Anolis sagrei: one gene and its partner. The protein of the gene in region 1 interacts with the protein of each later gene in a pairwise test. Links are inferred from orthologs where the notes say so. Each region holds a gene or a part of one and is shown in the gene's direction. Other genes may lie near its edges.

Evidence for each region.
Region 2: the proteins of LYAR (region 1) and PRKRA interact in binary tests that used the Homo sapiens proteins (3 or more experiments, as listed by UniProt). The two-hybrid records come from large-scale screens. The link is inferred for Anolis sagrei from reciprocal best matches to the Homo sapiens genes LYAR and PRKRA.

The regions. Positions count from the first base shown.
Region 1 is NC_090025.1:106,646,991-106,656,880, forward strand, and holds the start of LYAR (cell growth-regulating nucleolar protein), read left to right. Parts: upstream 1-6,022; 5' UTR 6,023-6,178; intron 6,179-9,257; 5' UTR 9,258-9,307; coding exon 9,308-9,429; intron 9,430-9,890. UniProt on the Homo sapiens protein: Plays a role in the maintenance of the appropriate processing of 47S/45S pre-rRNA to 32S/30S pre-rRNAs and their subsequent processing to produce 18S and 28S rRNAs. Also acts at the level of transcription regulation.
Region 2 is NC_090021.1:189,755,244-189,765,672, forward strand, and holds the start of PRKRA (interferon-inducible double-stranded RNA-dependent protein kinase activator A), read left to right. Parts: upstream 1-6,072; 5' UTR 6,073-6,087; coding exon 6,088-6,329; intron 6,330-10,429. UniProt on the Homo sapiens protein: Activates EIF2AK2/PKR in the absence of double-stranded RNA (dsRNA), leading to phosphorylation of EIF2S1/EFI2-alpha and inhibition of translation and induction of apoptosis.

The DNA.
Region 1 (9,890 bases):
TTAGACTGACATCAGTTATAATATGAGATGACCAAAGATAGCCCCTACTGTCCCCGTACATTTCATTATTACAATATGTATGTGTCTGTATCTCTTATAAAGAGTTTGTTTAATCTTTTGCTTGCTAGTAAAAATGAATTACTGTGCTGTGAAATGGTGCATGTCTAAATTATATGACACTAACATGAACTGTTTGAAAAGTTCTGATGTAGATTTAAACAAAATATAAACAGAAAACAAATATTCTTCCTCCCGATTTCAGGAAGTTCAGACAAAAATGGATTAGGACCCCCACTGAAAGCTGAACATTAAACCTGACCCAAAGACTGCCAACTCATCAACTTCAAAAAATCTAGAATGTGTTTGAGAAAGTACTGTAGTAATACGCTAGGTAGGGGGATACGCTGTACATGAGGTAAAATGGATGTAGAAAGATCGTCTTCTATAGCAAGGATGGGCAACCCTTCTACAACATAGGGAGTTTAAGAGCAAGCATATGGTTCTCCCCATCCCTCCCATAAATTTCACAACAACCCTTAAATCTAATTTGAAGAAGAAATGGAGACTGCCGTAAGGTGACCAAATGAACTTCATGGCCAAAGCTGCTATCCTCACTTTGATGTTCAAAAGAAGCATCCAGTTTGATACAAGAACTGTTTTTAAATTGAATTATCATTGTTTCAATCATTGTTAATTGTAACTGTGGTTTTTTAATGTATTGTGTTAGCATCTAATGGCTGCCTGCTATAAGCTGCCCTAAGTCCTCCTTTGGAGGTGAGAAGGACAGGATATAAATGCTCGAAATAAATAAATAAGGACTGAATTAACATTTTCAGAGGGTTGGATTGGAAACTCAAGAAGGCAGATTTCCTCCCTGCTCTTCAGATACCCCATGCCTGTTACAGACACTCAGGACCTCATTGTATGTAAGCCCCCCCTCCCTCGGTTTCTACACACTACTAAAACATCATACAGTTCAAGGGGACCCCCACCTCTTGCCCATGCTGCTCTGTCTGTGAACTATCTCTGAAGTGTTCGGAAACAGGAATAACTGGAAAGCATCTTCTGAGCTCCTGATGCTCATGGAAATGGGAGAAAACAAGGAAAATATGTGAGATGGGATCTGTCAAATTTGCCTGTGTTGAATCACTTCAGTGACAGGGAGTAAGGGGTGTTCCCATGGATGGTTTCCTACCAAGCATTGACATTTCTCTCCCAAAATCCCACCTTATAAGCCTAGTATAATAACTTTTTTAAATTAATTTAATTGTTAGGAATACTGCAATTTGAAGATATCACCACTTTATTTTTCCTGTCATTTCTCCTTCACAGGAACCTTGGCTTTTGAAATTGCATTACTGCTAGCTTTTAAACTTTGATGTCCCTTTAAAAAAAAAACCAACTATAGTGAGTTCTAATGCCTAGTAGGTTTCGGAAATCTGCAATTGAGAGTAAGGAGATTGGGTGGGAAAGGAGAGGAGTGCAGAGAAAGGGTATCTGCCTTAAGAACAATGCCTTCAATCTCCTTGAGTATAAGGATATATTTCAATTGTTTAAGGTAAAAAATAGATTTGGCGCCACATATAAAGGCGCCACACACAACGCAAGCTAGTACCATGGGTTTGAGGTTTCTTGCAATTTCTATCATCATCATCATCATATTTATTTATACCCTGTTTCATCTCTCTGTAAAGGGACTCAAAGCGGCTTAATATAAAAGCATTAGTACACAATTTAAAATATACAAATATACAAACATTGAAACAGAATTAAATACAAACAGTATTACAAATTCACGGTTAAAAACCACTCAAACCTATTCAATGCATATACAAAGTTAAAATTCAATGTATGAACCAGATCGGGCCCTTAGATCAAATTCAATGTATGAACCAGATCGGGCCCTTAGATCTGCCGTGGAAGGCCTCCTTTAACTCCCACTACTGTCACAAGCACAATTGGTGGGGGCAAGGGAGAAGGCCTTCTCGGTGGTGGTCCCCCAACTTTGGATGGCCTCCCCAGAGAGACTAGGCAAGCCCCTACTCTGTCCTCCTTCCACAGGGACCTGAAAGCTTGGTGGTTCCAGCAGGCTTTCGAAAATTATTAGTCCCAGGCCCGTTCCTTGACCATCAGCTAGGACCCTGCTCTACACTTTATCCATTTCCCTGACCCTATGATACTCTATTGCCCTAGCCCTTATCCAGCCCTTTCATAGCTGACCATGCCCACTTTGCAATTCTGGCCATTGGTATTTTAATCCCGTTTGATGGAGTAAAATTGAAACTGGCTTTTAAATGTTTGTGACGGTTTTAATAGGATTTATGTTTATGTTTTATAATGTTTAATTTTGTATGGTTTTTCTTTTGACAACTGAATGTTCTGCCTTATTTTGGCAACCGCCCTGAATCCTCTTGGGGAGATAGGGTGGTATATAAATAAAGTATTATTATTATTATTATTATTATTATTCAAAGTTCTAAAGTGTGTTTATCCCCCACAATTCCCAAGTTGATTGGCAATCACCTTCTTTTTCAATCCCCCGTGCAGAGATGCACAAAAACATCAAATTTAACGTGTGATGGGAAATCATATCGCTTGTAAACATAACGATGATGCCATCATGGAAAGCTGAGTTGAGATGGGCAGTATTGATACCTTTCTTCCACTGTTACTGTTTTGGGACTGAAGAGGAAGGAACAGCAATTTATACCTCTTCTGAAACAACATAAATTAAATAGAGTTACCCTTCAAATTAGCTTAGAGAAGACAATGATGCCGAGGTAAATGGAAGGAAAAAGGAAGAGGAGCCAACCATGGACAAGATAGATGGATGGTATCCTTGAAGTGACTGGCTTGACCTTGAAGGAACTGGGGGTAGTGATGGCCGACTGGGAGCTCTGGTGTGGGCTGGTCCATGAAGTCACGACAAGTCAGAAGCGACTGAACGAATAAACAACAACCCTTCAAATTGAGAGCTATCAGTACTCATAAAAAGAAATTATAATATACCTTATACTTTTTTAATCCAAAGAAAACGGGGGAGGAGACAGTGGGAGGAGAAATATCGGTAATAGTATGATAGCTGGGTCCGGAAGCTCCGAGCGTTACGGAGATGCCGCATCGCTCCTTTGGGAGTGCTGTTTGCGCAAGAGAGACTTAGCTAATGTAAGCCAGGCCGGAGACAGATAATATAGAAGGAATGTAAGCGTTCTTTAATGGTGAAACCCTAAATCTTACCCTAACCCTTATGTTAACCCAAACCCTAGTTTACTCTAACCCTGAACCATACCCTAAGCCTAACCCCTTACACAAACCCTAAACCATACCTTAACCCTAACCTCTAGCCCTTACCATAATCCTAACCCAAACCCTAAACCTTGCCCTAAGCGTCCCCTCCTTTCTATCCTCCCTTTGCTCTCCCCCTCTCTTCCCTTATTCATAGCCTCCTTTGCGACATCTCTGCAACGCTCGAAGCTTCCGGACCCAGCTATCATACTATCACCAAAATATCTCTCCTGCATGATGGGAAGGCAAAAGGGATCATTTTAAAAAGAAAGCGGAAAGAGGGGAAACTGTGTGATGGGGTAGGAAAATCATCCATTTAATTTCCAAACGGGGTGTTGCGAAGCTTAAAGGGGAAAACATCGATCCCAAACACTTTACTTATCGCGTGAGATGAAGTCCATGGTCAATTCTCTGTTGTTTAAGAACTGAATCCCATGCAAAGAAGACGATTCTACATGCAAAGAAGACACTTTCCCCCGCTCCCTCTGATAGATGGGCCTCATCATACTACAGAATGAATCTGCTTTAAATCCGGTTGCTACCTCTTGCAGAATTCTGGGATTTGTAGTTTAGGGAGGAGACTTTAACAGCCTCACTAAACTACAAACCCCAGAATTCTGCAGGAGGCAGAGACAGGATTGAAAGTGGATTCATGAAGTAGGAAGTCCTTAGTATTTATCCTTGTGAGGAGTCAAATGAAAGGTGGCAATCCTGGGTTAGTAGGAACGTGGAATAGCCCAAAGGAAACAACACCACACATTGTGGGGACCGCCAAGCAGGAAAAGGGACATACCTGGGAAGTGGTTCCAAATAAAGCAAGGCCTCTGACCCTTCTGTTCCTCCTCCTCTGCTCAGCGACCCAACATGCCTTTCTCCCTCCCTTTTCACATGATACCTTTTAAAGTTTGACTTGGAGAGGCAGCCACATCCTCGCTGTGGATGCCTGCATTTCTAAGGGAGAGGCAAAACAGCAGAGAGACGCTGTCCCTTTAAGTCCGTTCAAGGGAGACGCCTGAGCGTGCATCTCACTCCCAGTTGAGTCCTATGGGTCCCTAGACCGTCCCTCCCTCGCTTAGGCCCGCCTCCTAGCGCAACTTCCGGCCGCCTTGCGCTGGGAAACATAGAGCTGTGATCATTCACATCCCAACACTGAACTCCAAGAGGGAGACATCAAGGGAGAATCTATCCACTTTCCAGACTGACTGCCTCCTGCAGAATTCTGGATTTTGTAGTTCAGGGAGGCCCAGGGTCTCACTAGCCGAGCCGTTTCAAGGCCCCTCCCTAAACTACAAACCCCAGAATTCCGCAGGAAAGTGGCTAGAGGTCCCGTCCTTCCCTGGTGATTCCGACAGAGGGCATTGGCGCACGATTTCTGGACCTTTAAATTTGCAATACTATACTTAAAATATTATCAAACTAGCTGTCCCCTGCCACGCATTGCTGTGGCCCAGTCTGGTGATCTGGAAAATAAAGTAATTAGAAAGTGTTAGTTTCTAATATATGTAATTTTTGTAATGCTTGTGGGTAAACAGTATTTTTTGCTGTTTCTTTGTCAGTGTTGATGTGGAGATTGTCTAGTTTGCCCACCCTGGAACATGCAACACATAATTGTCCTTCTTTAAGGGTCTCTTTCAAATCTATGATACTATATTTGTGTGTGTGGGTATCTCATATGTGTGTGTGTGTGTGTGTGTGTGAGGCTCTTTGTCAGGAGGGCATTGATTACGTTTTCTTGCCCTGGTGAAGGGAGTTGGACTGGCTGGCCTTTAAGTGTTTTCTATTTGTCAGGGGGGTTCTGTGTCGGAAGTTTGCTCCAATTCTGTCATTGGTGGGGGTCAGAATGCTCTTTGATTGTAGGTGAACTATAAATCCCAGTAACTACAACTTCCAAATGTCAAGGTCTATTTTCCCCAAACTCAATCTGTGTTCATATTTGGGCATATGGAATATTTGTGCCAAGTTTGGTCCATATCCATCATTGTTTGAGTCCACAGTGCTCTCTGGATGTTGGTGAACTACAACTCCCAAACTTAAGCTCAATGCCCACCAAACCCTTCTAGGGTTTTGCGTTGGTCATGGGAGCCCTGTGGTTCAGTTCCATCATTGGTGAAGTTTAGAATGCTCTTTGATTGTAGGTGAACTATAAATCCCAGCAACTCCAAGTCCCAAATGACAAAATCATTTTTAAGTGATGGTCACTCCTTGGGTGTCTTTTGGCCAAATTTGGGGGTAATATGTCAAGTGGTTTTTGAGTTAGGTTAATCCCACTAACAATCATTATATTTTTATTTATATAGGCTAGCCGTCCCCTGCCACACGTTGCTGTGGCCCAGTCTGGTGATCTGGAAAATAAAGTAATGAGAAAGTGTTGGTTTCTAATATATATGATTTCTTTCTACTTGAGGGTAAACATATTTCTTGCTGTTTCTTTGCCAGTGTTGATGTGGAGAGTGTCTGGTTTGCCTACTCTGGAAAATGCAACATATAATTGTCCTTCTTTAGGGGTCCCTTTCAAATCTATACTATATCTGTGTGTGTGTGTGAATCATATCTATCTATCTATATTTATGACTGGATGGCTCTTTGTCAGGAAGGCTTTGATTAAAATCCCCTTAGAGTAATAGTGTTTGGGAATCATTAGAAGAGAGCTTCCAACGAGGATGCAGAATGACTCCACGTACAGCTCTACTGACGCCTGAGCCTTTAACAGCAGGAGGCTCAATTCCGCCGGAAATCCCGCCCCCTCTTCCAAGCGGAAGTGCCTCCTTTAGGGAAGAGGGGGAGCCTAGGAGACTGCGCGTGGCTGCCAGTGATATATCCACGGAGAATAAAGGCGGCCTCTTCTCAAAGGCGCAGGGAAGTTTTTCTAACCCGTCATAAAAGAGCCATAGCTGTAAGTTAACCAACTGTTTGGGTCCAGGCCATGGGGAAGTAAGGCAGGAGTTAAAGGGAAGCGGATAGTAGGCCATTGCCTTTCCTCCATCCTCAGGCCATGGCACTTTGGGTGTGAAACTGCTCCTCTAGTCTTGCAAAGAACTGTTTTCCCTCCATACAAGCCACAAAAGAGGAGGAATGGGCGTTGGATTGTTGTAGGTTTTTTTTTCGGCCCATAGGGTCATGTTCTAGAAGCATTCTCTCCTGACGTTTCGCCTGCATCTATGGCAGGCATCCTCAGAGGTTGTGAGGTCTGGGTGTTATTCATCTTTCTGATTGGCCTTGGGCAATTGCATCTAGACATCTTTTTTTACACTCTTCTACATTAAATAATTTGAATTGTTGGAAGAGACCACAAGAGCCAACCTTCTTCCATAGAATCATAGAGTTTATTTTATTTCTTTTATTTATTTGGAGTGCTTCTACCCCGCCCTTCTCAACTCCCTAAGGGGGACTCAGGGCGGCTTACAAAAGGCACAATTCGATGCCCAACAGTTCACTTAATACAATATACAAAATACAATATAACGACAACAGTTATAACTAGTTAAAACAATCAAATTAATACAATAGCAGCAATAAAATCATCTTGTGGTCAACGTTCGCCAATTCATAAATCCATAATCCATCCAGCATTGTCATTGTCCTTTCCTACCCTGGTCGTCATCCATCTGCCAGCTTACCCAAAAGCCTGGTCCCATATCCAGGTTTTTAACTTCCTTCTGAAAGAGAGGAGGGATGTTGATGACCTAATTTCCCCGGGGAGTGCATTTCACAGGCAAGGGGCCACCACCGCGAAGGCCCTGTCCCTCGTCCCCACCAGTCTCACTTGTGATAAAGGTGGGGCCGAGAGTAGGGCCTCCCCGGAGGATCTTAAACTCCGAGGTGGGACGTAGAAGGAGATACGTTCGGACAGGTACGCTGGGCCGGAGCCGTATAGGGTTTTGTAGGTCAAAACCAGCACTTTGAATTGTGCTCAGAACTGGATCGGCGGCTAGTGGAGCTGACATAACAGGGGTGGTATGCTCCACCCCCCTGTTATGTCACCTCCACTGGCTGAGTTGGAAGAGACCTCATGGGCCATCCAGTCCATCCCCCTGCTAAGAAGCAGGAATATTGCATTCAAAGCACCCCTGACAGATGGCCATCCAGCCTCTGTTTAAAAGCCTCCAAAGAAGGAGCCTCCACCACACTCTGGGGCAGAGAGTTCCACTGCTGAATAGCTCTCACAGGTTCTTCCTCATGTTCAGATGGAACTCATAATCAAAGCACCCCCGACAGATGGCCATCCGGCCTCTGCTTAAAAAACCCCAGAGAAGGAGACCACCACACTCTGAAGCAGCATAACCACTGTCAAACAGCTCTTGACATCAGGATTGTGGAAGATTAGATATAAGCAGCCATTGTTGAACCATTACTATGCTACCATATAATCCAGTTCAAAGCATATAATCTGGATTGTATATGGCAGCGTAGATGGGGTCTATATTAACCACTCCTGTGTCCTAATGTTACCCACATCCTGGAAAGAGCCTTCTAGGCCAGGGCTCCTCAGACCCTTTAAACCGACGGCCAGTTCACTGTCCCTGAGCTGTTCAGTGTGTGTGTGTGGACTGTAGTTTGGAAAAAGCACTAATGGATTCCTACACACAATGCACATATATTTTAGTCCAAATAAACATAAAAGAGCAGTACAGTATTTAAAATGAAGACCAGATTTAGCATCAGTATTTCAATGGGAAATTGCCTGCTTTTGGCTGATGAAATAGACAAGTGAATTAGCATTGTTCTTGTTGTTGTGCATTTTCCCTTAGGGCGACCTTAACTCTAAAGTTTAGGATGGGAACCAGGTAAATGACCTTAGTTTGGAGACCCCTGTTCTAGATTGTCAACATTACATGCTTTTCCCAGCATAACACTATGTAACAAAATTTGAAAAAAAGTATGTTCCCCGTTTGAAAGTGCTATTTCCCATTTAATTGTATGGTACTTACTTTAAAGTAGTTGCTATACTCCAGAAACTTGTGGCTGTCACAAACTATGTTGAATTGGTTGAGACTCGATGAGATATTCATTGAAAAACTATTCTAGGAAAAAACTATAGTAATAAATGTTTTCCATGTTTTTATGACAGAACCAATTAGGAAATGATGTTTATATCCCAGGAACAAAAATCGTGTTATATATAGTGTAATAGCGCTTTTAACTAAAAACTCTTCTTTCGGTATTCTTTGCCTCCTTGTAGACAGCAAGCATGTAATTTAATATTTTTCTGTGTCCCTAAGAAGTTTCTGCCTTGTCTATGCCTGGCTCTTTCTAATTGGATGCATCTGCACTTATAGACGTTGTGAAGTTTGACATCACTTTCACTGCCATGGCTAAATGCTATAAATCCTGGCAGTCATAGTTTTATACAGGCAAAAGTGTTGGTGCCTCACTAAACTCAGCCCCCCAGGATTTCATAGCATTCAGCCATGGCTGTTACTGTGGTGTCATCCTGTGTTAATTCTATGGTATAAGTGCAACCTTTGCTTTATTGACAAGATAAAGACCCATCAGGCTTGGTGTCCAAAGGTACAGTTCACAACATGTAGGGTTATAGCAGTGTGGTTGAGCATCCCTTATCCAAAATTCTTGAAATCAGAAGTGTTTGCAAATACTTGCATATATGTCATGAAATATTGTGGCAATGGTCCTAGGTCTAAACATGAAATTAATGTGTGTTTCATTTATGCCTTATATAAATATGAAGGTAATTTAATGATTTTGTTCATGAAACAAAGCTTGTGCAGATTGAACATCAGAAAGCAACAATATCACTATTTCAGTTGCATGTGGATTTTGGAGTATTTTGAATTTCTGGATATGGGATGCTCATACGATATTACAACTACATAAGAGTATCCGTATGTTCTCCTTTCTCATTGATGCTATGATACTGGTGCTTGAGCTGGATAATGCCTCCATTTGAGGCTAAAGCATAACAAATAGTGATTCAAAAATGGTCAATTATATTCATTTCTCAAATTTTCTTGAAGGTAATATGATCTAATAGCATTTGAAGAATTGAATTCTGTTATTTTTCAAGATGGTAGTTTTCACCTGTAATGCTTGTGGAGAATCGGTGAAGAAGGGCCAGGTGGAAAAACATGTAAATATGTGCCGGAACTGTCAGTGTCTTTCTTGTATGGACTGTGGCAAAGATTTCTGGTAAGTAGAACCATACTCTTACTTCACTATTGATTAGAGGAAATTCACTTGCAGCACAGCAAGTCCATTTTCGCTAATGGTGCAATAAGATATAGATTCAGAACTCAGTTTGGATGTGACTAGTAAGATGGATCTTTTTTCTAAAGCAATCACTTTAGTTATTCTGAGGTTCAGGAACCAAGTTTTTAAGAAGTTAAACAAAAATAAATATCAACATTCTGTGTGGGTGTTTGAGTTTCTGTATTCAAGATATTTCTGTATCACTGTCTGCTGTAATTCACAAGAACTTTTGGTGCAATAAATAAAAGAAAGTAAAGCAGGACTAAGAAAACTTTTTTAAAAACTCATTAAGATGCTCTTTCAAAAGCATTTTAGAAACAATTCTGAAATTTAATTTTAAAACTACAATTTCCAACATTAGAAATTGTGCAGAACAGCACTGTTTTGACTGTTAGCTGAAA
Region 2 (10,429 bases), on another chromosome or scaffold:
AAGAGTATTATATATGACCGAGATTACTTTCCTCCTTGCCTTTAAAATTTTATCCCACATCGAGCCTTCCCAGGCAAAGCCTACTTTATTATCTTGTTTAATATAGTCTTTCATTTGTAAGTAATGTAACCATGTCATATTCTTATTTTTCTCCTTCAATTGTTCGTAAGACTTAATCTCCCCTGTATTCTCTTTTAAGATATCCTTATACGTTGGCCACGCTCTCCAGCCTAACAGTCTTCTTTGATGCGCCTCCATTGGTGAAACCCAAAGTGGCGTTTTGTTATAGAAAAGATTTTTATATTTTAACCACACTCTCAGCAAAGATGCTCTGGCGAAGTGATTCCCAAAATTCTTTTCCTTTTTCTCTCTTTCATACCACGTGTAGGCATGCCAGCCCACACGTAAATCATGGCCTTCTAAATTCAGACATTTTTCATTTTCTAATAACATCCAGTCTCTTATCCATAAGAGAGCACTTGAATCATGATATGCTTTCAGGTCTGGGAAACCTAGTCCTCCTCTTGTTTTTTTATCAATTAAGTTCATATACTTAATTCTAGGTCTTTTTCCGTCCCATACGAATTTCAGGAGTTCTTTATTCCAACTTTTAAAGGTTACTTGGCTTCTAATTACGGGAATATTTTGAAATAGAAATAGTAATAGTGCAAGTTTCTTTGATGTGCCAATTTCCAACACAATAGGCCCCAGCATCTCAAGACTTTGCTGCATCTTGGGGAGAGAGTTGTGGATTATAGTTTACTAGATTTTAGAAATGCTCTCATTTCAAAAATAGGTATGAATGCAACACAAAATCTCTCATACCTAAACCTACAAGAGCAGATTTGCTAAATCAGTCGCGGAAAGGTAAGATAATAGTTAAGTAAATTTCATTGATTTAATAGTTTTACTCTTGTTTCAAATTTCATTGATTTAATAGGTTTACTCATCAGACATGTCCCAACTCTGGCAGTCTTTAGGAGGAGCCTGAAAACGTGGTTGTTCCAATGTGCCTTCCCAGAATAAGGAAAACTCTCAGCAATATGCCCTCAAAATGCACTTTACCACTGATTTAGGACTGACTGCGTTCCCTCATATCTCCTTGAAAACCCTATACCAGTTATATCCTACCTTGTTCATGCCCAGCGTTATTTTTAAATGTTAAACTATTACATTTGGCCCACCCATAGGTTTTTAAATGCTTGTGTGTTACTGTTTATGGTTTATTGTTTATGTGATTTATATTAATTGTATTGTATTGACTGTTTTTGTTATTGCTTTTGTTTATTGATGTACTGTGGGCAGAGGCGGCCCTAGGTAATTTTCAATGGTAAGCAAGCAGTATTTTGGCGCCCCCCACCCCACCCCACCCTAACCAATCACTGATATATATTTTCTATTTGTCATGGGAGTTCTGTGTGCCGTATTTGGTTCAATTCAATCACTGGTGGAGTTCAGAATGCTCTTTGATTGTAGGTGAACTATACATCCCAGTAACTACAACTCGCAAATGTCAAGGTCTATTTTCCCCCAAGAGCGCTTCAAGAGCGCCCCTAGGCAAAATCAACTATACTGCAAATGCTTACTTTGCGTAATGGGTTGAGCCGCCCGACTGTGGGCTTGGTCTCATGTAAGCCGCACCGAGTCCCTTGGGGAGTTGGTAGCGGGGTATAAATAATAATAATAATAATTATTATTATTATTATTATTATTATTATTATTATTATGCTGCCAACTAAATTTAGGATTTAATAAGGTGGCCAGGATCTTGTCTGATCTTGGAAACTAAACAGGGCCGCCTCTAGTTAGTACTTGGATGGGACACTGACAACAAATACCAGGTGCTGTAGGCTATAATCCAGAGGAAGGAACTGGCAAAGCCACCTCTGAGTATTCCTTACCTGAGAAAACCCTATTAAATCCATGGGGTTACCATAAACTGACAAGCAACTTAATGGTGCAGCCACAATTAATTTAGGATCCATATTATGTGGCCTGAATAATCCCATGCAATGTTTCATAAAACGTGGGCTTCTTTGGATGTTAAACTTTACAGCAGTATTTCTCAACCTTCCTAATGCTGTGACCCCTTAATAGTTCCTCATGTTCTGGTGACACCCAACCATAACATTATTTTCATTGCTACTTCGTAACTGTTATTTTGCTACTGTTATGAATCATAATGTAAATATCTGATATGCAGAATGTATTGTCATTCACTGGACCAAATTTGGCACAAATACCCGATATATCCAAATTTTGAATACTGGTGGAGTTGGGCAGGGAATTGATTTTGTCATTTGGGAGTTGTAGTTGCTGGGATTTATAGTTCACCTACAATCAAAGAGCATTCTGAACCCCACCAACGATAGAATTGGGCCAAATTTCCTACAAAGAACTCTCATGACAACAGAAAATACTGTGTTGTCTGATGGTCTTTGGTGACCCCTCTGACACCCCCTCATGACCCCCTCAGGGGTCCTGACCCCCAGGTTGAGAAACACTGCTTTAAAACATAACAGAGAGTGGGTGTAACTGGGAAGAAGTTGTGATCACATTCTAGTTTAGGAGGGACAGTACTGGCACAGTTTCTGTAGACTTCTACATTCTCCAACTGCCCCCCCCCCCCCCGGCTGCCAAAAAAAAAAAAAAAAGGCAATATACAACATAGTCATGAAAAATAGTGAAGAAATCTAAGATTTTCCACTGAGGGCCAGAATACCAGCAAAGTATGAGCAAAGAGGGGGTTCACACCCTTTCTATCTAAAGCACATGTGCTCTGCTAAAATCGTGGGTTCGGATCCCTGAGTGTCAAGCCACCAAAGGACTGAATAAAATGCAGATAGACTGAAGGCAAAATCAGAGTCATTTATAAATCTTGGTCAACATTTATACCAGAAGAATCTGCGCTCCAAAGAAAGACATACAACTGCGAACAGATTTCTTTTTAATGTTTGACAGCTACTCAAAACAAAGGCACATTGCCACGTAGGCTACTGATTCATCTAGAGTGGCACCAGCTAGGATCCCTCTCCATTTTCTTCTTCACTGATTGACTCTGGTAATGGTGGGAAATTTAATAAACTGTCTTTGGATTATTTTTGAAGGCTTCTTGATCCGCCCATCAGAAGAATGCGCATGGAAAGAAATGTGATATGGCAAGGGATAATGGGCTGGGATGGGCTTTGATATCTCTGCTCTAGTCAATACAATGGGTGCCAGTGAGGTAAATAAAAGGGAGGTCAGGGTGTGGGCAAATTCAACTGGGACCCCAAGAAGGGGGTCCAACTTCAATAAAGGTGAGAAAACATTCTCAAGAATAGAATGAGATCACCCCATGGCTCACTTCTAAGCCCTTTATGCTTTCCGTGTGTCATCTCAGGGTATTGTGAAGAGGACTATGCAACTATTGTGTAGACATTCGCTGAGGTCTGAGACGTGTATGGTGCTTATGCAACATTTGTGTGTGTGTGTGTGGGGGTTGGTTAATGAAAGACTGAGGGCCTTCTCAGTGGTTGCCCCCCACCTCTGGAACGCCCTTCCAAGGGAAATAAGGCAGGCCCCATCCCTCCCCTCCTTTCGTAAGAGCTTGAAGACCTGGTGTTTTCAACAAGCCTTTGAAAATGACCAGTTCTAACTCAGCCCTACACATTGTCGAATGTGGCCTTATTCTTCCTACCAATTATCCAGATTCTTTCCTCTAATCGACCCCAGAATGAACAGCCACAGACCTGTACCTAATATTATTGTTGCCTGTCAACAAGGGGTTCCCTATCAATCCCTATGGAGCTGTGGACTCTAGGGTTTATCCTTTTGGGGATCTGGTTTTCAGTAACATATGCGTCAACTCTAGGCACATGAGTTAAATCCACACCACTATGCCACTTTATGTGCTCCTTCAGATACTGGGCTACAACTCTTTTATTACTCATCATTAGACACAATTACTCGAGCTGATGGGAGTTACAGTACAGTAACACCTGAAAGGCTGCAGTTTGTTCTGTTTAGTCGGGATATTGGGGTTGTGGATATAATGCCTGACTTTAAAATGTCATTTAACCCTTCCCCAATATTAGAGCCACAAGGGTTGTTGGGTTGCAATTCCCATTATCCCCAGTCCGCATGGTGGATAATCAAAAGTGATGGGTGTTGGTGTTCAATAACATCTGGGGACACAAACTGAGTAAAAACTAAAGAGCACTGACCAGTATGTAAAAAAACTGTATAGCTGGGCTCTCTTTATCCACTGATTCTCTGTCCATGAATTAAATAGCCCTTTGAAGTCAACCATAAGGCTAATGTGGCCCTCAGTGGAAATGAGTTTGATATCCCTGGTCTAAAGGATAAAGTTTGTTCTTCATCATCATCGCTATTCCAGATCTCCATTCTGTTAAGAGTTTATTAAAATAATAATAAACCCAAACTTCTAAAATATTAAGGATGCATTCATTGGGGTGGGGGGGGGGGGGAGGGTTAGATGATTTCCACTCCGGTGGGAAGCTTCCCATCAACAAGGTGAAGTATCATAGCGATGAAGATGGAGAATAAAGTCGGGGCGATAACACGTCCCTGTTTGACACCCGATTCCACCTTAAATGGTTACGCTCAAGCCTCCTTCCTTGAGAACCGCCTTCACCGAGCTGCGATTTCAAGTGATGCCTGATGCCAACCGCAGTGTTAGATGGTCGCTACCAAAATGTTCCCTGGGAAAACAGACTATGTATTTGTAGTCAATGTCAGGTAGAAGACATTGTGCATTACCTGTTAGTCTGCCCATTGTATAGCGACCCAAGGGAAAGACACCTGAAACCCTTGTTGACACAAGATGAAGGGAACTCTATTGCAGAAACAGTGCAGTTTCTACTGGGCGATACAAATGACTATGTAACCTACAAAGTAGCCCTTTTTGCTCGCTCTGCAAAAAAGATCAGAAAGACAGAGTTAGATAAAATTGCTATCAACTGCCAAGGAGATTTTAAGGGTTAACTGCCTTGGGCCCGTACAATAAACTATTTTGATTGATTGACCTTAAATGGGTCACTTTGGGAGCCACTGCTGTCCAAGACTGTTGCCATCATGTTCCTCTCACATATTTATACATGGCATATTTATACATGGCTATCCTATCTCCTCTCAGCCTTCTCTTCTTCAGGCTAAACATCTTCATAAGGCTTGTTCTCCAGACCCTTGATCATTTGTGCTAAGTTTGGTCCAGTGAATGAAAAGACATCCTGCCTATCAGGTATTTCATAGAATCATAGAATCAAAGAGTTGGAAGAGACCTCATGGGCCATCCAGTCCAACCCCCTGCCAAGAAGCAGGAATATTGCATTCAAATCATCCCTGACAGATGGCCATCCAGCCTCTGTTTAAAAGCTTCCAAAGAAGGAGCCTCCACCACACTCCAGGGCAGAGAGTTCCACTGCTGAACAGCTCTCACAGTCAGGAAGTTCTTCCTTGTGTTCAGATGGAATCTCCTCTCTTGTAGTTTGAAGCCATTGTTCCGTGTCCTAGTCTCCAAGGAAGCAGAAAACAAGCTTGCTCCCTCCTCCCTGTGGCTTCCCCTCACATATTTAATCATGTCTATCATATCTCCTCTCATCCTTCTCTTCTTCAGGCTAAACATGCCCAGCTCCCCAAGCCGCTCCTCATAGGGCTTGTTCTCCAGACCCTTGATCATTTTAGTCGCCCTCCTCTGGACACATTCCAGCTTGTCAATATCTCTCTGGAATTGTGGTGCCCAGAATTGGACACAATATTCCAGATGTGGTCTAACCAAAGCAGAATAGAGCATGGGGAGCATTACTTCCTTAGATCTAGACAGACACTATGCTCCTATTGATGCAGGCCAAAATCCCATTGGCTTGTTATGAATCGTATTTACACTACGATTCATAACAGAAGCAAAATCGCAGTTATGAAGTAGCAACGAAAATAATGTTACGCTTGGGGGGGGGGGGGTGTCAGCACAAGACGAGGCAGCGTCTTAAGGGGTGGCAGCGTGAGGAGGGTGGAGTGGCCGCCTGGCTGGGGTGGGAGGGCTGGGCTTGGCTCCGCCTGGCTGCGCTGGCCCCGGAAACACACGTGATGCGCGGGAGGGAGGGAACCGAGGGAGGCTTTCCCGGCCAGGAAGAAGAAGGAGAAGAAGAAGAAGCGATGGAGGCGGAAAAGGAGAAGGCGGAGGAAGAGGAGGAGGAAGAAGAAGAGGCAGGGAGCGGCGGCGTGGCGGCGGCTCAGCCCCAGGAGGGCAGCTTGGGCGCCGAGCCCGCCACCCAGGCCGAGGCGGAGAAGCAGCCGTCGCCATCGCAGTCGCCTCCCACCCCCACCAGGTCTGAGCCAAGGGCGGCGCCCGCGTGGAGAGAAGCACGGAGGGAGGGAGGGAGGGGGTTGCTCTCGCTGCTCCCATTCATTGCATCTCTCTCCCCCCACCCCCCAAAAATCCCCAATCTGATGTTGCAAGCTAAGTATCACCCACCCTGGTTAGGATTTAGGCGGGAGACCGTCCACCCACGAATGCAAAAGCGAGGAGATTTCACTCCCCCCCCTCCCACCACGCTTTAAGAGTACCTTGTGAAACTACAACTCCCAGCATTCCATGGGGTCAAATGCAATTAATTCTAGGTGCACCCTCGCGGTCTCCCTAAGGAAACCCTGTGCAATTCGCCATCTCAAGACACATGGGGTGAACTATATCCTCATTGCACTGCCATTATCATCTAGGTCATCAAAACAGATATTATCTGCGTTGAACTGGATTATAGGAGTCTCTATTGCAGTGGTTCTCAACCTGGGGGTCGGGACCCCTGGGGGGGGGTCATGAGGGGGTTTCAGAGGGGTCGCCAAAAACCATGCAAAAACGTATTTTCTGTTGGTCATAAGGGTTCCATGGGGGAAGTTTGGCCCAATACTATCATTGTTAGGGATCAGAATGATCTTTTATTGTAGGTCAGGGGTCCACAAACATTTTAAACAGAGGGCCAGATCACAGTTCCTCAAACTGTTGGAGGGCCGGATTATAATTTGGAAAAAAATGAATGAATTCCTATGCACGCTGGGCATATCTTATTTGTAGTGCAAAAACACTTAAAATACAATAATTAAAATGAAGAACAATTTTAACAAATAAAAACCTATTAGTATTTCAATGGGAAGTGTGGGCCTGCTTTTGGCTGATGAGATAGCATTGTTGTTGTTGTGTGCTTTCAAGTCTTTTCAGACTTAGACTGAGCGAGGGCCAGGTAAATTACCTTGGAGGGCCGCATCCGGCCCCCGGGCCTTAGTTTGAGGACCCCTGTTGTAGGTGAATTATAAATCCCAGCAACTAAAACTCTCAAATGCCAAGGTCTATTTTCCCCAAACTCCACCAGTGTTCATTCACATTGGGCATGTTGAGTATTCATGACAAGTTTGGTCCAGATCCATCATTATTTGAGTCCACAGTGCTCTCTGGATCTAGGTGAACTACAACTCCAAAACAAGGTCAGTGCCCATCAAACCCTTCCAGTATTTTCTATTGGTCACGGGAGTTCTCTGTATCAAGATTGGTTCAATTCCATCGTTGGAGTTCATAATGCTCTTTGAGTGTAGGTAAACTATAAATCCCAGCAACTACAACTCCCAAATGACAACATCAATCCCCTGCCAACCCCACCAGTATTCAAATTGGGGCATATCATGTATTTGTGCCAAATTTGGTCCAGTGAATGAAAATACATCCTGCATATCAGATATTTATATTATGATTAATAACAGTAGCAAAATTGTAGTTGTGAAGTAGCAACACAAATAATATTATTGTTGGGGGTCACCACAACATGAGGAACTGTATTAATTCAAAGCACCTCAGACAGATGGCCATCTAGCCTCTGTTTAAAAACCTCCAAAGAAGGAGCCTCCACCACACTCCGTGGCAGAGAGTTCCACTGCTGAACGGCTCTCACAGTCAGGAAGTTCTTCCTCATGTTGAGATGGAATCTCCTCTCTTGTAGTTTGAAGCCACTGTTCTGCGTCCTAGTCTCCAGGGAAGCAGAAAACAAGCTTGCTCCCTCCTCCCTTTGACTTCCTCTCACATATTTATACATGGCTATCATATCTCTTCTTCAGGCTAAACATGCCGAGCTCCTTAAGCCGCTCCTCATAGGGCTTGTTCTTCTATGGCAGTCAAGAAGGGTCCTATGTATTAAAACGACATATTCCTCCCAATCCCATCTGATCTTGGAAGCTGACCATATACACATTCCCCTCTCTTCTTTCTTGCCTTCTTTTTTTCCTTCCTCTCTCTCTCCTTTCTTTCTTCTTTCTGCCCTCTTTCTTCCCCCCCTTTCTCTTTCTTTTTCTTTTTCTCTTTCTCTTTCCCTTCCACACAGCCCTATATCCCAGAATATCACAGCAGATAATCCACAATATTTGCTTGAATAGGGTTATCTTAATCCACACTGTCATATAATCCAGTTCAATGTGGATTTTATACAGCTGTGTGGAAGGCCCCTTCTTTTCCTTTGTTTCTTTGCCTCCAGTCATATCTTTTTCTCTTTTCCTTTCACTTCTTTTTTTTTCCAGATCTTGGAAGCTGAACATAATCATCCCTGTTTAGAATCATAGGCTGGATCTACACTGCCATATAATCCAAGTTATCAAATCAAATAATCCAGATTATCTGCTTTGAACTGGATTTTATGAGTCTACACTGCCATTAATCCAGTTCAAAGGCTGGTTCTACACTGCCCTATAATCCAAGTTATCAAATAATCCAGATTATCTGCTTTGAACTGGATTTTATGAGTCTACACTGCCATGTAATCCAGTTCAAAGCAGATAATCTGGATTTTGTATTACAGTGTAAATTGGGCCATAGAGTTGGAAGTGACTCCACCAGGCATCCAGCCCTACCCCCTGCCACACAGGAAAAGCACAATCAAAACACCCCCGACAGATGACCATCCCATTCTTGGATGGGAGGCCACTAATGACTAGCATTACAATGCTCGGATAATGTGGGATTTTCTGCCTTTATATTCTGGATTATATGGCTGTGTGGAAGGGCTCTAAGGCATATGAATGAAAGTCCTTAATAGACATGTGATTTGTGTAATCACCATTCAGGTCTCAAACCGGTTCCAGGATTTCCTATGTAATCATCAGCATAGTGAAACTACTTTCTTCAGTACAGGTTTGAAACTACTGCAGAACCCAGTGATGCCCCTTCTACAGTGCCAAATAAAATCCAGGTTATCTGCTTTGAAATTGATTGTATGGCAGTTTGCACTCATATAATCCAGTTTAAAGCAGATAATGTGATTTTCTGATTTGATAGTCTGGACTGTATTGCAGAGTAAAAGGGGCCAGAGTTGATGCTAAATGGAACTCAGGGTACATCTACACTGTAGAATTATTATTATTATTATTATTATTATTATTATTATTATTAATAATTTATTTGTAGCCTGCTCTATCTCCCCAAGAGGAGAGGGAGCTTCCAACATAATAAAGGCAAACATTCAATGCCTGCATAAAACAAAAGTCAAATAAACAACAACAATAAAATACATTACACAAGTTAAAACAAGTAATTTAAATAATCAACATTTAAATCATTAAAAGTCAGCTAAGATAGCATATCAAGTCCATTTCCTTTCCATTCATCAATGTTGTGAACTCTATTCCTTCTTCTCATCATAGGCTTGAGAGCATAGGAATGTTTTAAGGTGCTTTTAAAAAATGGGTAAGGAGGGGGGCATTTTGATCTCCTTGGGGAGGGCATCCTAAAGATAGGGGGCAACCATCGAGAAGGCCCCCTCTCTCGTTCCTACCAGTCATGCTTGAGATAGGGGTGGGACCAAGAGTAGGGCCTCCTCAGTTGATCAAAGAGCCTGAGCAGAATTAATGCAGTCTGACACCACTTTAACCACCATTGTTCAATGCTGTGGAATTATAAGGATTGCAGCTTTGTCAAAGAAGGCTAAATAACTTGCTAAACTACAACTTCCATGATTCCACAGCAGTTAAGGTAGTGTCAAACTGCATTATGTCTTCAGTGTAGATGTACCCTAAGACCCCTTCTACAATGTCACATAAAATCCAGATTATCTGCTTTGAATTGGATTATATGGCAGTGTGGACTCAGATAACCCAGTTCAAAGCAGATAATGTGGATTATCTGCTTTGATAATCTGGATTATATGGCAGTGTCGAAGGGGCTAAAGTCTGAACCCAGTCAATGTGTTAAACGCACTAAAATGTAACTAGTTGAATAACTTAGGCCCCTTCCACACAGTTGTATAAAATCCACATTGGACAGTTTTATATGGTAGTGTGGACTCAGATAACCCAGTTCAAAGCAGATCCTGTGGATTATCTGCCTTGATATTCTTGGATATAGGGCTGTGTGGAAGGGCCCTTAGTGTTTTAAGCTTGGAAAAACTAAACTGAA